Mus musculus: one gene and its partner. The protein of the gene in region 2 binds, or shares a complex with, the protein of the main gene of each other region. Links are inferred from orthologs where the notes say so. Each region holds a gene or a part of one and is shown on either strand. Other genes may lie near its edges. The genes, in order: Polr3gl and Polr3b.

The links.
Region 1: Polr3b (region 2) and Polr3gl share a complex: the UniProt entries of both Homo sapiens proteins name them as parts of the RNA polymerase III (Pol III) complex. The link is inferred for Mus musculus from reciprocal best matches to the Homo sapiens genes POLR3B and POLR3GL.

What each region holds. Positions count from the first base shown.
Region 1 is NC_000069.6:96,591,266-96,595,597, forward strand, and holds the start of Polr3gl (DNA-directed RNA polymerase III subunit RPC7-like), read right to left. Parts: upstream 2,917-4,332; 5' UTR 2,819-2,916; intron 1-2,818. UniProt on the Homo sapiens protein: DNA-dependent RNA polymerase catalyzes the transcription of DNA into RNA using the four ribonucleoside triphosphates as substrates. Specific peripheric component of RNA polymerase III which synthesizes small RNAs, such as 5S rRNA and tRNAs.
Region 2 is NC_000076.6:84,620,849-84,625,323, reverse strand, and holds the start of Polr3b (DNA-directed RNA polymerase III subunit RPC2), read right to left. Parts: upstream 3,027-4,475; 5' UTR 2,858-3,026; coding exon 2,786-2,857; exon of another isoform or gene 2,679-2,785; intron 1-2,678. UniProt on the Homo sapiens protein: Catalytic core component of RNA polymerase III (Pol III), a DNA-dependent RNA polymerase which synthesizes small non-coding RNAs using the four ribonucleoside triphosphates as substrates.

The DNA of each region.
Region 1 (4,332 bases), on a different chromosome or scaffold from region 2:
TCCCAGCACTCAGGAGGCAGAAGCAGGCAGAAATCTAGAGTTTGAGGCCAGCCTGGTCTACAGAGTGAGTTCCAGGACAGCCAAGGCTACACAGAGAAACAGACTGTCTAGAAAAACCAAAAACCAAACCAAAACAAAGGTGGAGAGATGCCTCAGTGGTTAAGAGCACTGACTGCTCTTCCAGAGGTCCTGAGTTCAACTCCCAGCAACCACATGGTGGCTCACAACCATCTGTAATGGGATCTGATGCCCTCTTCGGGTGTCTGAAAAACAGCTACAGTGAGCTCACATAAATATAATAAGTGCATCTTTAAAAAACAAAACAAAAAAGCAAAACCCAACAACAACAACAACATCCAGAACAAATAACAAAAACCCCCAAACAAGCCATTTTCAAGGGAGGAGGTTAATAATATGGAGTGTTTAGGGGTGAAGGAGACTACAATATAAAGTCATATTTATCTGTTGTTGTTGTTTTTTTAATGTTTTCATTCTTGATACAAAATTGAATTTATAGTGTGGCTCTATTTACTTATAAAACAAAAAGTTTTGCATATATACAGAATAAACTGAGAGTACATATGTCTAAATACTAGTATCAGGGGCAGGCAAGATGGCTCAGCAGATAAAGTCAGTGCCAGTCCAAGAACCTGAGTCCCATCCCTGGAACCAACTAAGGTGCAAGGGAGACATAACCTTACAAAGCTGTCCTCTGACGCTGACATGCATGCGGTGGCACCAGTGTGCAAGTACATAAAATAACAATAAAGTTTAAAGTTGTAAAATACTAATTACCATCATTATTACCTTAGGGCTATGAAATAATGCACACTCTTATATTACTATGTGTTTGAAAGTTGTGTGGAATAAATGTATATCCTACAATCAACAAGTAAAAAGGATGCTTCGTTTTCAAGAATGCAGGGGAAATCTGGAGAATGGTTCAGTGGCTCAGAGCACTGGCTGCTCTCCCAGAGGACTTGGGATTCGATTCCCCGGGACCCACACAGGGACTCACAGCTGTCTGTAACCCGTCCCAGGGAACCCAACACCCTTTTCTGCCTTCTGAGGGTTTCAAGCACACAAGTGGTACAAAGACTCACATGCAGACCAAACGCCCACCCACACACAAGAATTCAGAGGACGAGTGGGTGCTATAGCTCAGTGGTGGAACCCTACTTAGCAAATCACTAGGGCCTCAATTCAATCCCCAGTTAAAGAAAATAAGCAAACCCTCACAACAACAACAACAGCAACAACACACTCGCTTAGCAGAAAGCCTTGGGCCAAGCCTGTCATTCAGAAATTTCAATTCATCTTTGGTTCCATGGTGAGTTTGGGGCCAGCCTGACCTCCACATATGCACCATGGTACACACTCCACCCAGGCCCACTAATAATAAGTAAGTTTAAGTTGAATAAATTCAAAGGAAAAAGTGAAAGAGTGGACCGACCTGAAAAGAGCTAGTGAGTTCTCTTCCTAAAGATGCTGTTTCAGAGCTAGGGGTGTAGTTCAGGGGCAGAATGAATGCTTAGCATTTGTAAGACCGGACTCACATTTCTCAATTTAAAAGAAAAAAGCTTATTTGGGGTGCAGTGGTACAAGCCTGTTATCCCAGAAAGGGTGAGGCAGGAGGGTCATAAGTTGGAGGTCAGCCTGTTTGCCCTGCATAGAAAGAACTGGTTTCGAAAATATTTTCCCACATACTAAATAACAATTTATTGAATAGATGTTATCAGAGGGTTCATTGTGATCCCGGTTGTCTAGCACTGTGTCTGCTATGTAGTAGGTTCTCAGTAAATATCTGTCTTTTGAACATGTGTCTACAGACTCTGTGAGTCACAAAGACTCCCTTCTGGTTCTTTTTGTTGTTTTCCTTCTCTGGTCTGAGAATAACTATAAAACATTAATGCAATAAACCACCAGTTCAAAGACCCCTAATTATATAATGTTGTCTTTTATTGTTCCCTAATTATATCAGGAGTTTAAATTTGTCCTCCTTGACAAGAGCACTGGTTCCCACAAATCAATTCCACTCGATTAACGCTTACTGAACACAATGTATTAAGTACCCCAATCTGTCCCATCAAACCTTCCGTTCATAGAATAGAAACAGTGAAAGAGAACATATAATCCTAACACCGGGGGTACTGTGGCAGGGGGAATGCAAACTGGAGGCCAGTATGGGCTACATAGCAAGAGTCTGCCGATAAAAGCATGGGAGGGATGGAAAAAGTCAGCCTCGTGAGATGGTAAATACTCGTGTTGCCAAGTGGCCAGGAAACAGGCTGACTAGCTCAAGTTGTCCTCTGACCTCCTTGCGTAAGCCATGGCTTGTACGTACCCCCCCCACACACACACAAATAATGTAATTTTAAAAATTAAAGAGATTCCAATAGTGATAATCGGACTTTGTCAGGTCGGGGATCAATAAATTCTTCACGGTGGTCTAGGAAAGTGGTGGGTAGAGGGTAGCGGTTCAGTTGACTTGATAGGTAATAAGAATCTGTCAGGCTCTTGACAGGGGGCTAATGTTACGTTAATGGGTGCGGGAGAAGCTGGTACCATAGAAGAGTCTGAGCTACAAGAATGAACCTTCCTCTCCTGCTTTAATATCTGTCCCCAGGCGCGACAGCAAGCTGTCTCCGGCGTACAGTCAAGACAGCAGTGAGAGCCCGGGGAAAAAGGGGAGGGATTTAGAAGGGGGCTGATCCAACAGGCTGACAGAAAGCGTTATCTACGTCGCTGTCGGCGCCGAGGGACTAATTCGGGAAGTACCGAACCAAACCGGGTCAGAGCCACCAGGTCGAAGCCTTACCTGCCGTCCCTCCCCCACTCAGGGCCCACGCAGCCGCCAACTTGAAATTTGCTTTTCTTCTTCCAGCCCTCGTTCTAGGCCCGCCTCCCCGAGCTCTCCATTGGTGGGTTTTCCTGGCCAATCGACGAGAGCGGAGGCGGGCGAGGAGGGGAGGAGGAGGGAGCGAGCTTAACCGGAACTGAGGCTTGGGAAGTGGCGCGCTGAGACCTGGGGCTGCAGAATTCACCTCTTATGCCCAGACCGAACTAGATGGCTAAGATGTCCTGCTACTCAGAGCTCATCCAGACACGTGGCGGAGCCAGAAGAGGAGAACCGCTGCTGGGAAATGTAGCCCTGGGTCAGAGAAACCAGACTGCTCATCTGTTAACAGCTGTGCCTGCAGGAGTTCCCAGAAACACTCCAGGAGGTTCCCAACTACCGGACTCCAGCGCCCTCTTCTGGCTTAGGCCATCACACACACACACACACACACACACACACACACACACACACACACACACCACACACACACCACACACACACACACACACACACACACCACACACACACACACACACACACACACACACACACACACCACACACACACACACACCACACACACACACACACACACACACACACCACACACACACCACACACACACCACACATCACACACACACACACCACACATCACACACACACACACACACACACACACACACACACACACACCACACATCACACACACACACACACACACACACACACACACACACACACCACACATCACACACACACACACACACACACAGAGAAACACTCCAGGAGGTTCCCAACTACCGGACTCCCGCGCCCTCTTCTGGCTTAGGCCATCACATACACACCACACACACCACACACACACACACACACATACCACACACACCCTCTTTATTATTCTTCCTCAGTCACCAGCACTACTAATAAATAATCTTTAAAAGATTTTTTTTCTCTAAAGGCAGGGTCTGGCTACCCAGTCTAGGCTGGCCTTGAACTCTTGATACTCTTGACTCTGCTACCAAGCTCAGGCCCCAAATGCGGATTGTTGCGGTGTCTGAGAAGTGAGGGAGAGAAGGGGGCTTGGGACCAGAGCAGTAATTGGGGAGAGAAGGCAGGAACCCAGTGGGTTTTTTCTTTCTGTACTTTCCACTGCCCTTCAAGCCCCTTCAAGGAAAGAGGGCAGAATAGAAAGAGTCATTTTTTTTACAGAGTAGAAGTAAAGGGAAATACTTCAGGATGGATGTAAAACTAGGAGTCAGTCAACAAGAATATGACAGAGGTCAGAGAAAATGGCCTCTAGACTGGGAAGTTGCATGTGGATGACACATACTCCGTTTTTGGAATAGTATAAAAACATAGCTGTAGCGCTTTGGGGGAACTTGCTTAACCTCATTATCATTTGTTGCAGGAAGACAATAGTTCCCCCCTCATTGAGTTGTGAGGGTTGGAGATGATGTATGTATGCACATCTCTCGGCACACATCAATAGCTA
Region 2 (4,475 bases):
CAAAGCTTTCAACTACTTTTTCAGCCCCATGCATACCATTCCTGATACAAAGACAATGGACTAACCTCTGAAATTGTAAGCCAGCCCTAATTAAAAGCTTTCTATTTTAAGAGTTGCCTTGATCAGGGTGTCTCAGACAGAACACTGACTGAGACATAGGAGAAAATCTAAAGTCATCAACATGGTTTTTGTTGTTGTTGTTGTTGTTTTTACCAAGTCTGGCCAATGCTTACTTCCCACCTCTTTCCCACCATTGCTTAGTGTACTTGCTCTGTTGGGTTGGGTTTTTGTTTTGTTTTGTTTTTCCCCTTGTATACTTATTCTGTCTTTGATAGTTTTTTTTCTCATTAAACTTTCAACTTTAATTTGTAGATTACATTTTGTGTTTCAATCATGTCTTCCTTAGGAAGCTACCACAGTGTCTGCCATAGACCCTTGCGTGTTTCTAACACCGCTGGCCCCTTTCCCTGGTCTTATTCTCTGTAGCAGGGTGCTCAGGCTTTGGCATTTTCTTTTTTCTGAATGAATGAACATAATGAATCATGTTACTTACTGCCTTTGCCAAAGAAGGCAAAGAATGGCACGGGAGACTCAGAAATTGACATTGCACTTACTCATATTGATTATTCCCATCTATGTAAGTGGGATAATAAACAGTAATGAACAGTACTTACTAGAGCAATAGTTTCGCGTGCTGAGTTAAATGAACAAATGCTATTTCCTTTTAGCTCAGCCTATTTTCTATTCAGCTCCACAACTTGTATTTTCTCTACAACTTTCTAGACAGGAGCTCTGGTTTATTTGAACTAATCATTTCTATTATATTTTTCCTTCATATTATACTGTGGTAGGAAAAGTTACTCAGGCTTTGGGGCTGGTTATTATTCATCGATGAGGTGAGCAAATACTAATCGACTATACTGAGTACTTATGGGGTAGTGTTTCAGCAACTTAAACAAGTAAACAGACTTGCCTCCTGACTTCAGAAGTCGTTAGCTTAATAGGGGCGACATGTAAGCAAATGGAATGACACTTGGTAGGTGCTATAACAGTATGCAGTGAGGTGGATTATTATAGATGCTAGGTATACTGCCATGACTGAGCATGGTGGTTGTATGAGGGAGGCATTCCAAATAAAGGGAGCCACTGTGTGCAAGCGCACAGGGTTGAAGGAGCTGGCAGGGTGGAGAACACTGAGGATGTCTATGCCTGCTATGAGTTAGACATGGTGAGGAAAGAAAGGTAGGTACATTGAAGAGGCTTAAGGTAGTGAATGAGGTGACAGCAGGTTCCAGTGAGCCAGTGCACCGTGGCTCAAAAGCTGAGTTAGGGCTGGGAAACACAGACAGAAGGACCAGAAAGCAGTGTAGTGGCCCATTTGGAAGACACCGAGAGTTCCAGCTCATGCTGCAATTAAGGACGATTGTGAGGAAGGTTCCTTACAGCAACACTGTAACACGACGCTGTGATCTACAAAACTCTCCCTGGAGAGCCATACCAAAAATATTAAAAGTAAAATAAAATAACACTCATAAAGCTTGGAGTTAAGTCTGCAGTTTTGGACTGGGCTACATTCTTAACTATCCTTTGCTGCATGGGCTGCAGGTCCTGTTGATTAGGAGTAGGGGAACACTGAGAAATAAGCCAAACACAAAGACAAATACTGTGTATTTTCCCTAAGAGGATCTTGGAACTCATTCTTCAAAGTCCCTGAGACAGTGAGGTTGTGATCCTACCACCTCTACATACCAAATGCTGAGATTAAAGTCGTGGGCCCCTACACCCTGTCATAGCAGGAATCAACCACGGGTGCTCTGGAAGAGCAACCAGTAGTCCTCAATCCCTGAGCCGCCCCTGGGTCCTAAGTCACTGATCAGGTCGCTCCCAATTAAACCCTTCAATGGTGCTTTACTATTCCCAGGGAGAAAGTCTAACACCTTCTAAGAGTTAACACATTTCAGAATCAGGAAGGCATCTTTTACTGCCCTCTTCCCCTAGCTCCACTAGATTTATTTGTTCCCCTGAAACAACTGATGGTGTGTCTGGGGTCATGTACAACCTGTTCCTCTGCCTGAATTTCTTCCTCGACCATCTTCAGTCCTAGATGTCCCTATTCTGTGCCAAAGATGTCAAGGTTCAGTGAGAATTTATATACCTTCTCAGGAAACAAAATCATGTCAATAACTGCACTTCCTTAGGCAGTTCACCGTGAAGCAATTATCCTTTAACTTTTAAGAATCTGATGAAAGCTATAGGGGCCCCTAAGAAAATACAAGATCAAAAATGGGGGACGAAGGGATAGTCAAGGTACTTAAACTAAACCTGCAGTCCAAAGAAACTGTGGAGTAAAAGGAAAATGATGACAAGGGTGAGATTCCCATTTACTTTTAGCACCAAAGCCGGCTATGGGACCTCAAGAACATTGCCTACGTTCTCAGGATCTCTGTGTCCTTCCAGGTGAGATCGGCAAGAAGATATTGGTTCCTGAGAGAATACACAAGGACCAATTCTTGCCAGTGCACACTTAAATTAGAAAAGCTTTACCCGAGAGCCATTCGCTAAGCTTCTAAACGTAGGACGCTACTGAGAGATCTGTACTTGCTGCTACAAACGCTCAAGAACCACACCTGGTAAAAGCTCACACACCCGGAGCTCCGAGCATGTGCAGAAGTTCTGAGCATGCGTAGAAGCCCAGGGACCCGCCCTCGTCATCCTGAAAACTCTCCCGGCAACGCCTCCTTAGTCGTCTCCAACCTCTTCCGCTGCCTGCGCTCACGGCACTTACCTCCACAGTCGGGATCGGCGCAGTCAGCTGCTCCGGAGTCAGGCTCCCGAACTCCTCGGCTAGAACATCCATTCCATTCACGGTAGAGGAAGAAGTCGGCAGAATGTTCACATCCGCCCGTGCGGCTCCAAGCAAGTAGCACGCGGAGAGTGGTGTGCGTTCTCCTCCGGTGTCCCCGTGGCGCTTGTTTACGGGGAGGCGTTTCAAAAGGTTCCGCCTGGTCAGGGCCTAACCTGCGGAGGAACCCGGAAGTGACCGAGCCGGATGTGGAAAACTACACCCACTGGTGTACTTCCGAGGTCTCGCCGGGCTAATCCTAGCCTCTTGACAGGCTCATTTCCAGTATCCCCAGAATGATTGAATACGGCAAAGTATAGTAGTTCTAACTGTATAACTAATCTGAAAAATGACTCGATAATACACATTAGTCACAACATGAACTTCTAAAGCAGAGATTTCAATTAACTCAGTCTAAACTGCTTGTATGTTGTGTAGTACAGAAGAGCAAAAGTCCTTGCTTAAATAATTGGTGGTACCTGCGTGTAATGAACAGGCATCAGCCGGGCGTGGTGGCGCACGCCTTTAATCCCAGCACTCGGGAGGCAGAGGCAGGCGGATTTCTGAGTTCGAGGCCAGCCTGGCCTACAAAGTGAGTTCCAGGACAGCCAGGGGGCAGTAAAAGATGCCTTCCTGATTCTGAAATGTGTTAACTCTTAGAAGGTGTTAGACTTTCTCCCTGGGAATAGTAAAGCACCATTGAAGGGTTTAAACGGGAGCGACCTGATCAGTGACTTAGGACCCAGGGGCGGCTCAGGGATTGAGGACTACTGGTTGCTCTTCCAGAGCACCTGGGGTTGATTCCTGCTATGACAGGGTGTAGGGGCCCACGACTTTAATCCCAGCATTTGGTATGTAGAGGTGGTAGGATCACAACCTCACTGTCTCAGGGAGTTTGAAGAATGAGGTCCAAGATCCTCTTAGGGAAAACCCAATAAATTATATTAGAATAGTTAATTAACGGTTTGGGGGAAAATATGTTTAAATCCTATGTCGATGAAATATACCTTAACAAAACACTAGAAGGAAACGTCAGAGGGACGGAGTTTGTTACCACTACACCGAATAAACGAAGGATTGCACATAATCCTCCCACGGCAGCACAGACACCTATAATCCCAGCATTTAGAAGCTAGAGGTAGGAGGGCATCCAGAAATTCAAGGGCATCCTTGGCTACCTAACAAGGTCGAGGCCAGCCTGGGCTACATGAAACCCTGTCTCCAAAGAAAAGGTAATGTATTAATAACATTGATTGGTGAAAGATTTCAAGGATGGCAACGGAGAAAGCATAAGAATTGCTAAAAGTTGTATTCCATTAATTTTTAAAAAATTAGATACACCTATAAAAAATCTCTATGAATAGTAAACACACAGTTGGTAGAAGACAAAAGGATTTGTCACTGAAATTGGAAATGAGTTCATGCAAGTCCAATGGTAAGAAAAATCCCATGGGAAGAAGAGGTAAAAGATGCCAACAGTTTTTAAATGAGTTTCAGTTTGGGAACATACAAAAATTGTGGAGATGGATGGTGTCACATGAGTGTGTACAATGCTCCTGGCCATTTAATAGTTGAACTATTTAATAGTTCACCTGTATAATTAGCACCATCTAATAATATGTGTTCTTTTTTT